Linked DNA regions of Arabidopsis thaliana. The protein of the gene in region 1 interacts with the protein of each later gene in a pairwise test. Each region holds a gene or a part of one and is shown on either strand. Other genes may lie near its edges.

Region 1 (5,721 bases):
TGCTTCTTAGACAGCTTTGTGTCACTGTTAGCGGCGGCGGGGTGAAGCAGCTGAACGATGAAATTAGGCCTAGCCCGCGTGACTGGAGGAGAGAATCCCGACGACGGAGCACGATCACGTCTGTAATTTGGCGGGAAATTAGTGTTATGGTACTGAGAGTGTTGCTGGTTCCAAGTAGTACAGTGGTTGAGCGGCGGAGAAGATTGTGCAGAGCGAGAGTTATAACGGTTCGTTGAGGATGAGGGAAACGACTGCTGACGACGATCAGTCGTCGATCTCCCACCGTCTGAAGGAGGAAAAGAGTTCCTCATGATGAGATGATGCCAGTTTTTTTTCTTGTTAAGAATGAGAGAGCGAAAGAGAAAGAGTCAGAAGTTGAAAAGAGTCACAGAAGAGTCAGAGAGTTATATCAATCAATATTAAAACCCTATTAAAATTTATTTAACTTTTCGTCTACTCTTTCCTTTTTCTTTAACCTAATTTAATTTTCTTCTAATCAATATTAAAACCCATTTTGTTACTATCAATTCTTTAATTATTGGTTCGACCTATAGAAACATCCAGAAATCCAAATTTGAGGATAAAAGTGTTAAAGTAACATTTCTTAGTATTTCAATTTTATGTTTTTACCACATTTTAAAATTTAAGTTAGAAATAGTGTATCTACCAATGATATTGCCATATACGTATTAAAATGTACATATCATCAAAAGTAAATATGAAATCTTAAAGGTATTAAATAGTTAACTCATATTCTTGTAAAGTTTAATATTTGTATACCATTTAGATTTTATTCAAAGCATTGAATTTTATTAATAATTAGTTAGTAGTTTCAAAAACTATTTTAAAATCCCTACAAAAAAAAAACTATTTTCAAATCCCTACAAAAAAAAATACTATTTCAAAATAAAAGAAAATAGAAAATATTGAAAGCAGAAAATATAGAAAGGTGTTAACAAAATTATATAAAAGAAAAAACAAACAGAAAGTGTTACATGTTTTATATAAAAAACAATTTGGTTAAAAATTTCAATAACCTCATATCATTTTTTCTCATCTGCTTAATTAATGATATTCAAATGAGTTATTTTCAAAAAATATTGCTTATATAAGTGATGATATGATGCGGTTCGCTACAAATTTTTCGTGCCAATAAAAATTTCATATATTTTTCTACATTTTTTGTCAACATCATATATTATTATTTCCTAATTTTATTAGAACTCTCGTCTTTAAAAAGTTTTAAAAGCGTCATTTATCGTTCTTTTATCTACAAAAAAAAACAAGATTTCATGAGTCAGACAAGACAAAAGCCATAAACAACACAAAAGTCCTGCAAGATTGCTCACTTGGGCGGTTGGGCCTATATGAAAATTTACTATCTCAAAATTTAACTAAGAGCCCATAAAAACTGTAAGATCTTTGCTTTAAATCACATTGTCTTCATAGATTTTGTGATTCATGGTAGATTTGTGAAGATCTTTGGTCATCTTTTTGTTTACATTTGGCTTATTGAGTGTAGAGTGTGAACAATCTGCTATGAAGTTGGTAAAATTCTTTGGATCCAAACCTTTAAATCGTAGCATATTTACTATTTCACACTGCTAGGATCTGTTTATAGCTGATGCATTACTGGAATCTATGATGTTTACTGTGTTGGTCTGATATATAACAAGTTCTGAATTTTAAAATCAAATTCAATATCGAATTGGGCTTTTAATTAAGGTTAGGCCCATCAAATGTTTTTGACTCTTTAATAATTCCCTCTCTTTTGTCTTTTATTGTAAAATGCACACAATTTCGAAGAAACTGCCAATGGAGTCTCCATTTTCCAGCGCCATGCCAAGCTTGACTCTACGATGATAGCTTATTTGACTGCTTCAAAAAAAAACTTCAGAGAATTAATTTCGAGAATTTTCCCAATTTCAGATCATCGGAAAATTCTTACTATAATCTTTCTTATATCGCTTCTCTCAGTTACTTCAACGTTCTGGTCAGTTTCGGATATAAATGTTTTAATTTCTTAGTTTCCGTTTCTTCTTCTTCTTCTTTTTTTTTTTTTTCTGTTACTGTAAACTTGGGGATAACGAATTAAAGCGATCAAATCGATGTTCTTATGATTCAGGATCCGTTATAGCAAAAAAAGCTTGACTCATGGCTTTTGGCCGCAACAATCGTGTAAGGTTGTTGTTTGCTTGCTTTCTTTAATCTCTGTCTTTTTTTTTTTTTAGAATGAATTTACTGAGAAACTATGGATATGAATGATTCTCAGAAAAAATATTCTTTTTTGTTGATGATTTTTTGTTTAGGTTCAGAGATTGGATTTCAGAGGGAACAGAGTATGGTTACGGAAGAAATAAAGCTAGACCATCTCTAAACACAGTTTTGAAGAATGTTCGTAGAGGACTTAAGAAACCTTTAAGTTTTGGTTCACATAATAAGAAGAGAGATTCTAATTCTAGTACCACTACACAGAAGAATATTATAAACCCACAAGGATCTTTTTTACAGAACTGGAACAAAATCTTTCTTTTTGCTTCAGTGATTGCTTTGGCTATTGATCCATTGTTTTTCTATATTCCTATTGTTGATGGAGAAAGACACTGTCTTAATTTGCATCGTAACTTGGAGATAGCAGCTAGTGTGCTTCGCACGTTTATAGATGCTTTCTACATCATTCACATTGTGTTTCAGTTTAGAACTGCTTATATCTCTCCTTCTTCTCGTGTTTTCGGAAGAGGCGAGTTGGTTGATGATCCTAAAGCTATAGCCATCAAGTACCTCTCCTCCTACTTCATCATCGATCTTCTTTCTATCCTTCCACTCCCACAGGTAACCTTTAGTTCCTAATGGTTTTATAGTTCCTTCTTGATGGTTCTTTAATATTCTGTTGTATCTGCTGCAGCTTGTAGTCTTAGCTGTCATCCCCAATGTCAACAAGCCGGTCTCTTTGATCACTAAGGACTATTTGATAACTGTCATATTTACTCAATACATTCCAAGGATTCTTCGTATCTATCCACTTTACACTGAAGTTACAAGAACATCTGGCATAGTTACTGAAACCGCTTGGGCTGGAGCTGCTTGGAACCTATCTCTCTATATGTTAGCCAGTCATGTGTTTGGAGCCTTATGGTACTTAATATCAGTAGAACGAGAAGACAGATGCTGGCGTGAAGCTTGTGAGAAGATACCAGAAGTGTGTAACTTTAGATTTCTCTACTGCGATGGAAACAGTAGTGTTAGAAACGATTTCCTGACTACCTCGTGCCCGTTTATCAACCCTGATGATATAACAAATTCAACTGTCTTCAACTTTGGTATCTTTACTGATGCTTTAAAGAGTGGGATTGTTGAATCAGATGATTTCTGGAAGAAGTTCTTCTACTGCTTCTGGTGGGGTTTGCGTAATTTAAGGTTTGTAACACTCTCTCTATCTAGTTATTAGTAATTTAGGATTCATGTGACACACTTGATGGCTGGCTAAGATATGTTGAGCATGAAACACTAATCTGATCACTTGCTGTTTCTCACTCGCTGCAGTGCATTGGGACAAAATCTCAATACAAGCAAATTCGTTGGGGAAATCATATTTGCTGTATCAATTTGTATATCTGGACTAGTCTTATTCGCACTACTTATCGGCAATATGCAGGTATATATTCATTTCACTGCCTTTTTTCCATCACTTACTTGATCCCCAAGGAAGATAAAACACTACTGATGTTTCCACTTTCCATAACAGAAATACTTGGAATCAACTACAGTGAGGGAAGAGGAGATGAGAGTGAGAAAAAGAGATGCAGAGCAATGGATGTCTCATCGAATGTTACCCGATGACTTGAGGAAACGTATCAGAAGGTATGAGCAGTACAAATGGCAGGAAACTAGAGGAGTAGAAGAAGAAAACCTTCTGCGTAATCTCCCTAAAGACCTCAGGAGAGACATCAAACGCCATTTCTGCCTCGATCTTCTCAAGAAAGTAAGTGCTTCTAGTTCCACCTTATCTCTTTGATCCTCAAATTTGACATTTCATTCAAATAATCATTGATCGAATCAAATATATATAGGTACCTCTGTTCGAGATAATGGATGAGCAATTGCTAGATGCCGTGTGTGACAAGCTAAAACCAGTGCTCTACACCGAGAACAGCTATGCAATTCGAGAAGGAGATCCAGTGGAAGAGATGTTGTTTGTCATGAGAGGAAAACTGATGAGCGCCACCACAAACGGTGGCCGGACCGGCTTCTTTAACGCCGTATACCTAAAACCTAGTGACTTTTGCGGCGAAGATCTTCTCACATGGGCATTAGATCCTCAATCTTCGTCTCATTTTCCGATATCGACTAGAACAGTTCAAGCTTTAACCGAAGTAGAAGCCTTTGCTCTTGCAGCAGATGATCTCAAGCTTGTTGCTTCACAGTTCAGACGACTACATAGCAAACAGCTTCAACATACTTTCAGGTTTGTTTGGTCTCTTTTGACTGATCTCTCTGCTTCTCCAATCTCCGGTTCTGTTTGGTTTAATTCGGTTTAACTGTCAGGTTTTATTCGGTTCAATGGAGAACTTGGGGTGCGTCTTTCATACAAGCGGCGTGGCGGAGACATTGCCGGAGGAAACTAGCTAGATCATTAACCGAAGAAGAAGATCGATTCCGAAACGCGATCACAAAACGCGAACGCAATGCGGCGTCTTCGTCTAGCCTGGTTGCAACGTTATACGCGTCGCGGTTTGCTTCAAACGCGCTTCGCAATCTGCGTACAAACAACCTACCTTTGCTACCTCCTAAACCCTCCGAGCCTGATTTCAGTCTCCGAAACCCTTAAAATATCTCTTACACATGTCCACTTACCACTTGTATATAATATTGTGTCAACGACATTAAAGCTTAAACTAATTACAAAAATTTAGTGACCCTATTTTATAGGCACGATGCTCCAATGGTCACTTTTAAAATAGAGTTTCCTCAAAAATAGGAAAAAAATAGAGACTAAATGTAGAGATCTTTATTTATAGAGATGATATCTCCTCTATTTTAAAGAAAATTCTATTTTACATGTGACCATTGGAGCAGCCTCTAAAATAGAGTCATATCTATAAATAAAGGAAAATATAGAGATCACTATTGAAGATACCTTTATAAAAATAAAACATGGTTATATATATGAATTTGATAACTTTAGGTAACCTTAATTTTTTTTTTAGTTTTAAAAGCTTTGGAGTAAATATAACAAATTTATTTAAAAATTGTTTTTTCATGTGTGTGTTTTGACCAAAAAAAAACAAATAACATGTTTAACCAATAACATACAATTTATCATGTTATTTTATCTAAGAGTAATTTTTCCATATATATATATTTATTATAAGATTCAATTGTAGATAATTTTTACTTAATAATACATCATTTACCATATCATATATAGATATTAGTTTGGTCAAATTGTACAAAAAAAATCGATTTCTCCTGACCGACATAGATTCAGACAATATAAAGCCCAGTCATAAACCCAAAAGTGTGGATAAGATAATAATCTTAGCCCAACAAGCAGCGAGAGAGAGAGAGACTTATTATTAGGGCTCCGTCAAATTTCCCCAATTTCTCTCTGATTCCTCTCTAGAAATCGAACTTCTTCTTCTTCGTCCAAGCTTTTGAATCGAAAATCGATGGCGGATCAGAGTTCTAAGCCGTTGCAGTTTTTCGTGAGACTACTCGACG
Region 2 (4,568 bases), on another chromosome or scaffold:
TTGGAAAGAAACTTATAGGCTATCTATGATATGGCTAAGAATTCAATATTTTTTGTGCAATAATCAATTTATACTTAGTTTCTAGAAGTAAACCAAATATGCATACACGTTTGGTTCTGCAGTGATGCAGATTGGTAGATGAATGTGATATGGTTGCACATGTTGTGAGCCCGTCGGTGTCGCCGCTCTTTTCGCTTACCCTATATGTAGCAGTAGTAGATTGGTGCTTGAAGTACCAACCTGATGTGCCCCGCCTAATTGCCATAATGTCTCTCCCAAGTTTTTTTTTATTTACCTAAGAGTTGTATATACTTAGATGTCAAGTTCATAGTTGTTTTGAAGCTAGAAAGCTGAGAGTGTTTGTTGGAGTTAACCAACAAACAAATACCTCATGGAATTAATTCATAATGTAGAGACTAGAGAGTATGTTGAATGTTGGGTAATACTCGTGAAGCTAATTTTGCTGCTTGTGTACTCACTTTGCTTTTGATTCTACTATTATTCTCTCACTAAACCAAGTTCATAAATGGATTGGGGAAAATAATTCCATCCTAAATGCAAATTCTTCATGTATTTGTGAGTATTAGCTCGAAATGTTGAATAAAAACACCTTCGTTGACAAACTCTACATTTTTGGGTATTCTTTTACTACTAATTGGACTCACTAATACTAGAATAGCAATTTTTGTGGTCATTATAGTCTTCACAATGATAAACAAGGAAACGACTAGAAATGTTCTAGATTCCTCTGTCAAGACTTTTGAATCCACATCAAACAACCGAAAGAATTGAGACTTTTTGGGAGCTAAAGTTCCAGGTTCCATGTAGTTTCTGCGGTCAGTTTTGGCGGCTTCAATTCCTCAGCTAGATTCATTGATGCACATACCTGTTGAAACAGTAAGAGAAACTCATTAACCACGACTGCAAAAAGAACCAATTTTAGCTAAGTGCTTATGAAACAATGTTTAAAAGATCGATTGCAGCATTCAAGAGAAGTTCTAGTTCCCCATTCACACATTAACATGTTCAACCCAAACTAACCTATAAGAAAACCTGGTCGATGGTACAACAAATTATTCAACCCAACCACCAGAACCAAGTAAGAGGAACTTAATCCCTAACCAGAGGATTGTAATTCAAGTCTCTTGTTAACACTCTCTCAAGATCACCATGCATCTTTTATGCATTAATAAAGATCACACCCATGCCATTAGGAGATTTGCATCATTCATACCAAGTTTATATCACCGCTTAAGCTTCAGTCTTTCTTAAATTCTTAGTAAGCAACAATAGATAAACAACATGGCTGGGTTAAGAATTTTTAACCTACTTGATAGAACTAAATGTCATTACAAGAAGAGCAATATAGTCTCATACCTACATGCACATATATGCTTGTTTTAAAGAACAAATTTTGAGAAGAGACAGGACCGTAAGAAGAAATGCTAAGATAACAGTATATAAGAGTATCTAGTGTCAACTGTTGGGATAGTGATATATGTAAAATTCAATCTACTCCTGCCAAAAGAAGTAGTGCTATGAACAAAAACAGAGAAGTGAAAATAGTATTTACCTTGAAAGATCCAGTTGATTTAGAGTTGTTCGACCATTCCAAACCAAGCATCTTACTAGAAGTCTGATAAGTTGCCTTGAGATTATCACCACCATAAAGTTTATGAGAAATCGCAAAGTCCCACATATTCTTAGCCACGTCATAACAAGGCTCAAATGTAGCTATCCCTCCATGAACATAAGTATACTTCAGCTTACAATTCTTTGTACCCACCATGTAATTAGCAGACAACTTGTTTGCTGGATCAATCACAAAACTCCCGTCAACAATCGTCCGGTTATCTCCTCTCATATGAATGTAAGTCAGATTCAAAGGCTTCTCTGCAATTCTGATAGTGTTCATAAACTGAAACCTAACATCCTGCAGCATAAAAACCGAAACTTTTTACTTCAATTTCATTCATTTGCAAAGAATCCATTCAAATAGAACCTTGTGTAACATCCTGCAGCAGAAAAACCGAAAATTTCTACTTAAATTTCACTCATTTTTCATAGAATCCATACAAAAATAGAACCTTGTGTAAACTAACATTCTGTAGCATAAAAATCGAAACTTTATACTTCAATTTACACTCCTAACCTAGTTTAATCTCCAAAAACTCTTAACTTTCTCAGAGACTCCATACAATTTCATCCATTTCTCATTCCTTATAGGTTTGAAGCTAAAAGGGTTAACTTCAAAAACTTGAAACTAAGAAAAAAGGAGTAACCTTTTTAGGGACGTTGTAGTCGATGATGAAGAAGCCAGGCTTCTCAACGGCGAGAGAGAGACCATTAAAGCTAGGACCGGCGACGAAGGAAGCATCAGTCATGGTGGCTCGTAGCTTAGCATTGCCGGCGTTGAAGGTAAGCGAAGCAACGCTACCGCTCTTGTCGACATCGAACTTTCCCTTGAAAGAAGCCTTCATCATGGAATCAATCGGAGAATCCAATCGGAATTTTCAGGATAAAACCCATTGAAGTTTTCAAATTTGGGCTTTTCGTGGGCTTCTTAAAAATGTATAAAACGCCGTTCCGTGGGCTTCTTAAGAATGTATATAAGGCGGGTTTGAATTGTCTAACGTCCTTTCACAATTAACTTCTTTGGATTCGGTTTCATCAACTTTAAAATTTAAGAAAAGAAAGCCGCGTGCGTTTGGTTGGGACGTGAGACAATAGACAAAGACAACTTCTCACTTCTCAGTTTTTAATTTTGCCAACTTGCTTTTTGTCTTATTTCTTCCCATTTTACCAATTCACATTTTATTACAAAAAAAATAGAACTATATATATACACATCTATTACTATATTTTCCAATATTGTGATTCTTTACCTCTTTATTAGCTAAATATGTATTCAAATTTGTCTTTTGGTAACTGCACTTTTTTTATTTGACTTTTTCTTAGAAAAGTTTCCATCTTTTCTAATATTTTTGAAAAATATACTGTCTTGATAAATGTGAATTTGAACCTAACCTATATATATGTAATAATAATAATAATCTTCTCTCCGGATTCTATTCTCATTTGGTTTGTGTGCTTTGCTTTCGCTTTCCTCAATTCTCTTCTTCTTCATTATTTTTGCCTTTTACCTCTTTTCTCTGCAATCGGTTTCTTCTCTCATTGTCTTTGACGAAAGAATCTACCCATAAGAGCGTTTCTTTGCTTTCTCAACCATAACTTTCTCAGATCGATTGGTTTCTTCAAGCGATTGGTGGGTTATTATTAGCTTTCTGTGTTTTGTTCATCGTAATATTCAATACAATCTCTCGTGACTAAAAATTGAGTTTTTGAAATAGATTTTAGCATGGGTTGTGATATTTGAATGGATATCTCTGTTTTTAGGAACGAACTTGTTTGGTGTTTCTTTGGCAAAAGGTTATTGCTTTATGGTTTCACTATGGTGTTTGTATTGGTGGTTTGTTGATACGAATATGTTATTGTTCCTCATGTTGCAGTGTTAGTTTTTGACTTGAGAGTTTGCTAAAGGTTTGATCTTTATCTTATTTACTGATGCTATTCTTGTTGTAGCTATGTGGATTGTTATAGGTTGCTTGATTTTGATGTTCATGTGTCAAATTGATAATGTAGCTTTTGTAGCTGATTAATTAAGTATAAAGATTGTAATGCAGTTGAGTTTTTGGTCTTAAGATTAGGCATTGTATATTATACTTTTGCTTGCATATCTTGAATTGCTGTATTGTATTTTTCTTTGGCTGAAAGATAACTCCTTATGTATTTCAATGTGAAGGTAACTCTTTTCTTTTTTTTTATTTTAGTTTCCAGGATTTGCTAGATTGTGAAAAGTGGTGAGAGTCTCTTGATTTGTCAAGTGTCAACTGTGGTTAACGATAGGATGCAGGGAGAGAGGGCTAGTCTTGGTTCTTTATCAAAGGCTTTGAACTTTGAGCGCGGTTCTACGTCTAGTAACGCTGTGGTAGATCAGCAAATTCGTTGGGAGAATCTTCACAATTATGGTGATAATGATTTGCAGGATTACATGAGTTCAGCTGCTGATACAAATCCTACTTTTGCAAACTCAGTTTATCATGAGAAACGGGGCTTGCAGAGGTTTAACATTGGTGAGGCTAGCTCTAGTGGGACGAAGAACGAAGGGGCAAGTCTCACTGAACAATGGAAGGGAATTGGAAGGTTTGAGGAACAGAGGAATGATAAGCTTGAGTTGAGCCCTTTGTTTGTGCAACCATCTAATGGAAGCCGCGTGGTTCGTGATGTCAATCTAAATGCAGAATACAATGAGCATCTTGAGGATATGAATCCGGTTACAGTTCATCCTGGTCATTTTGAGGTTAATGGACTTAGGTCTGAGTTTTTACTAGATAACAGTGTTAGAGCTGGTTCCTCTGTTGATGGACGTCGTGCATCCTGTAAAAGAAAAGCTCTTGATGCAAGCGGTGGTCAGTCCTCTTCAACTGGAGGTTTCCGTGAGTTCCAGCGTGGAGTATCCAGTTCTTGGATCTCAGGTCCTACGTATTACAGCCCAGCAATGACAGCAA
Region 3 (4,110 bases), on another chromosome or scaffold:
CACATTCTTAGGCTTCCCAAGAAATGGAGCTATTGCACTAAATGTTCTTCCACGAGATCTTGTATGATATGTGGTGGTAGTGGAAAGACAAGCATCTAGCTCCTTACGCAGAGTTTACAAGTACGTTAAACTCTTTTCTTCAGAAACCGATTCAAAGGTTTAGCATAGCTTTCTTGTTTTGTTTCATTTATGAAAGATTCTGCAATGTTTGAAAACTTTCATACAACTTTAAGTTTTACATTTGCAATCTTCACCTGTCATACTAGTTAAGTTGCTTCTTACTCTTTCCAGATTCTTTAATGTGATCTGTTTCTGAGACGTAAAGATTACTAAAGTCAATTGCTTCTTCTTAAGGTATGACTAGTTGTGCCTCAAAACACTCTTCTCATTTTCAGTATTTGATCGATTTTGTTAAATCAATAATATGATCTTGGAAGACTTTTAAAGACACGGCTTGTTGATAAAACAGAGAGAAAACTGATGCATAAGTCTTATATCAAACGACATTGTACATCATGAGCACCGAGCTCACTGAACCTCACTTATCAAGTCAGGATCTTACTCGGTACATCTCTCATAAGAGGAACATAAAACATGCAAACATAAAGCTAAGTTTGAGGGTTATTTATATGTGGAAAAAGATGTAATGTGACTATCCTTCACTAGACATGAGCCGGAGATCCGGTTTCCGGCGTTGGAATATCAGCCAACATCGCCTTGCGGCCTCTCTCTGACCGGCTGTTTTCAGCAAATTTAATGCTTCCTTCGTGTAGTCCTAAGCTCTTCTCTTCCTCTGTCCATTCCGCTCCATAGTAATGCTCTTCCTTTGATTTCTCTCCATCTTGTGATGGCCTCAAGAACATGCTTCCCCACTGCGGAAAATGTATAAACGCAACCGGAAGAGAGCACACAACAGCCATAACGCCCATCAACGATAGTCCTTCCGCCGTACTAAACCTCGAGGAAGAGAAGAAAAGAAGTTGAGTAACTCCCGACCCAAAATTTCCACCAGCACCAGTTAATCCCGAGATAAGTCCAAGAGAACGGCGGGAAACAAAAGGAGCAACACCAAAGAGAGCTCCACAAGCAGCTTGTGTGCCCATGGAAAAAAGCATCATGGCTAAGATAGCTATAGGTAGTGAACTAGCACGACCAAGCCAGATGCAAAAGAGAGCTCCAACAGTTTGTAAGATCCACAAGATCCATAACCGTCCCCTCATACCGAAGAGCCGTGCAGCTACATCTGAAGCGTAGCCACCAAAAGGACGGGCAAAGAAGTTTGCCATACCAAAGCTGGCTGCTATAATACCAGCTGTGTGAAGCGTAAGGTTAAACCTATCGTAGAAGTATCCAGATATAACGTTGTTGATCGTTAATTCAACTCCCATAGAAAATCCATAGAGCATGAATAAGATCCATGTTCTATAGTTTTTCACAGCGAACCAAAAGACCTATTAAACAAAACAAAATTGTAATTAGAACCACATGCATTATTGCTAGTATTGTCCTAAAAATATTGATCATGTTTAATATATTACCTTGGAGAATTTGTCTTTAGAAACTTGACCACTCTTTTGGAGAGTACTGAGGTTACCATCGGGAAGATCTTGGCCGAGAGTGAGAACGAGAATACCCATAACTATCTGAAGAATGCCGGGGATGAAGAAGGCGAACCTCCAAGCCGTGAAGGGAGTGGCTCCGGTGAGTTTGATGACGTGGAAGACCATTGGCATTAGTAGCTGAGTCACTCCTCCTCCCATATCTCCCCACCCTCCAGCACATCCGTTAACGAGTCCGATAATCTTTCCAGTGAACATAACACTCGTCCAGTACTGACATGATACGAACGTTGCTAAGCAAAAACCGATCATGAACCTTACGGCTAAGTAGCTTCCCGCGTCAGCTACGAACGACATGGAGAAAACTGCTGGAGCTGTAAGCATAAGTGAGAAGGCGGTTCCATAACGTGCCCCTAGAAGGTCACATACAGCACCCATAGCGAGTCTCGAGAAAATGGCGCCGGAAACTGATGCAACTCCAGCATTTCCGATGTCGGTTTTGGTCAGGTCGAGATTGTCGCGAATGACGGGGACTAGAGGTGCGGCTGCGAAGGTGGAGATGAAGCAAGTGAAGAAAGAGATCCATCCTAAGTGGAAGGCTCTCATATGTGGTTTAGCGAATGATAGTGGTTTGAACACTTTTGCCCTATGTTCGGAGTCCACTGGTAGGGCAAACTTAGCCGTTGGATCGTTTGTTCGGACGGCTTGAGATGAAGGGACATCTTCTTGGACGGAGAAGGAGAAGACTTGCTCCCTTGCCGTGACTCCATGCAAGGAGGTTCCAATAGAGCCGTCTTCATTAGAATGGTTGTGAGCCATTGATCTTTAGTTCAAAGAAAATGGGAGAAGTTAAGAGAGAGAGAGAGAAGAGACTTTAAACGTTGAAGAAGGTTTTCTTCTTCTTTGTGGCCTTTGTTGTTTTCTGTTTTTGGTGTAAGTTGGAGAAGATGAGTTGCATAGTATTTATAGAGATTTTTGGTGGGTACGGTTAGGTGGATCCAATAATAAGAGTTGAATAATACTACGTGAAATGAAATGAGCGATGGCTTTTTGTTTTAATTTTTTTTTTGGTGAAATAGTATTACGAAATTTATTGGTAGAAAACAATCAATATGTAAAGTCTCTTGTACATTTTAGATGTAGTCTCTTTGTAGGTTTTTGCAAACGTTTTCAATAGCAAAAAAAAAAAAAAAGTCCTGATTTATTTATATATTTTGTTAATAAACTGTGTTGAGGGTCGAAGATAGTATATATTTTCTCTAACCGAATTATCAGAAGAAAAATTACGAAGGATAAGAGAAAGTTCACGTATAACCGAATGATCAGAAGAAAAATTACGAAACGATAAGAGAAAGTTCACTAGCTTTTCTTTATCTTTAATCTTTCGTAGTGCAAATATCAAAACGGACAATTTGACACGAAAAATCTATACCGAACTGCATCATATAACATATATAAATAACATTATTATGAATGGCTCTCCTAAATTTTATCTAATTAATATCGGTTAATAAAAAAAAAAAGTCCACCGCTCCAAAAATAGTTCATTCGGAAAAGAGAATATCCTATTAGAACTAAGCATATGTGTGTTTTTGCATAATGCAAATTACGTGCTCCATTTACTATTAAAATGTTTATAACTTAACTTAATTAGAAAATACGTTTCATTGACTACTTGTACCATATCTCTATCAAGTCGAAACATTATATAACTTTATAGAATTAACTATTACGTACGAATGGAATAAAATGCAGAAGAACAACGTGTCTCTTTCACCGCCGGCTTAGCGTCCATTTTGCGCATCCGTAGCTAATGTACAACATGCATGTGTCTTACCTAATGCATTGATGTTTCCAGCTTACTATAATATTTTGAAAATATTGTTGATCTTTTTGTTTAATGGTTATACTTATACATTATATATAAATATTGTTAATTTACGAGAATATCTTCTTATTCTTTTTATTTTTTTGTTATAGAGTCATCTAAGTACAAGAATATCTTTATGGAGAGACAAATGTTTGACATTTGACATCAACCAAAGGTCAATGAGACTATGAGATCGTACGGTTCATTGTAAAAAGCTCATTCTTCTAAAAATAATTGCAGTTTGTCTTTTGTGTATTCCATGTGGTCGACTCATCAAATTAATTTTACTTTTGGAAATAGTTGTATCAACTTTATTCAAAAATTCATTTTTTTTTTTTTGCTTTCAATTACCCAATAATACCATAAGATATGAAAATCTCTTGATCTTTATTTATTTTTGGGGGTTTAAAACAAGGTCGATCATTTCTTATTTGGAACGTAAACTCATATTTTAGAAAAAAAACTAAAATTGCAGAGAGCAAAATTTTGGCAACCAAAAAGAACGAAACAAGTAACATCAGCTTTTGAAAGTTATCAAATGAATTGAATGTAGCGATAAGTTATCTTTCTTACATATTCCTCGATCCCCGTACCATCTAGATAATCTTTATTAATTAGTTTGTTACACACTATGTCACTATATTGAATATTAAAAACTCAATTTGTTTTTTATGAATAGCC

What was found.
Region 2: the proteins of CNGC13 (region 1) and AT1G45170 interact in a protein complementation assay, tested with the Arabidopsis thaliana proteins (one large-scale study listed by BioGRID).
Region 3: the proteins of CNGC13 (region 1) and NRT2.6 interact in a protein complementation assay, tested with the Arabidopsis thaliana proteins (one large-scale study listed by BioGRID).

What each region holds. Positions count from the first base shown.
Region 1 is NC_003075.7:433,676-439,396, reverse strand, and holds CNGC13 (cyclic nucleotide-gated channel 13), read left to right. Parts: upstream 1-1,805; 5' UTR 1,806-1,993; exon of another isoform or gene 1,994-2,125; 5' UTR 2,126-2,154; coding exon 2,155-2,183; intron 2,184-2,309; coding exon 2,310-2,832; intron 2,833-2,905; coding exon 2,906-3,417; intron 3,418-3,543; coding exon 3,544-3,655; intron 3,656-3,745; coding exon 3,746-3,982; intron 3,983-4,070; coding exon 4,071-4,465; intron 4,466-4,545; coding exon 4,546-4,828; 3' UTR 4,829-5,180; downstream 5,181-5,721. Other genes in the region: AT4G01020 (helicase domain-containing protein / IBR domain-containing protein / zinc finger protein-like protein), read right to left, coding at 1-311; AT4G01000 (Ubiquitin-like superfamily protein), read left to right, coding at 5,670-5,721. UniProt on the Arabidopsis thaliana protein: Putative cyclic nucleotide-gated ion channel.
Region 2 is NC_003070.9:17,095,428-17,099,995, forward strand, and holds AT1G45170 (outer envelope pore 24B-like protein), read right to left. Parts: upstream 2,615-4,568; 5' UTR 2,484-2,614; coding exon 2,283-2,483; intron 1,934-2,282; coding exon 1,574-1,933; intron 887-1,573; coding exon 806-886; 3' UTR 553-805; downstream 1-552. Other genes in the region: AT1G45180 (RING/U-box superfamily protein), read left to right, coding at 3,908-4,568.
Region 3 is NC_003074.8:16,477,009-16,481,118, forward strand, and holds NRT2.6 (high affinity nitrate transporter 2.6), read right to left. Parts: upstream 2,552-4,110; 5' UTR 2,379-2,551; coding exon 1,539-2,378; intron 1,452-1,538; coding exon 663-1,451; 3' UTR 553-662; downstream 1-552. Other genes in the region: AT3G45050 (uncharacterized protein), read left to right, coding at 12-99. UniProt on the Arabidopsis thaliana protein: Involved in high-affinity nitrate transport. Required for the nitrate uptake-independent plant growth promotion and lateral root response to the rhizospheric Phyllobacterium.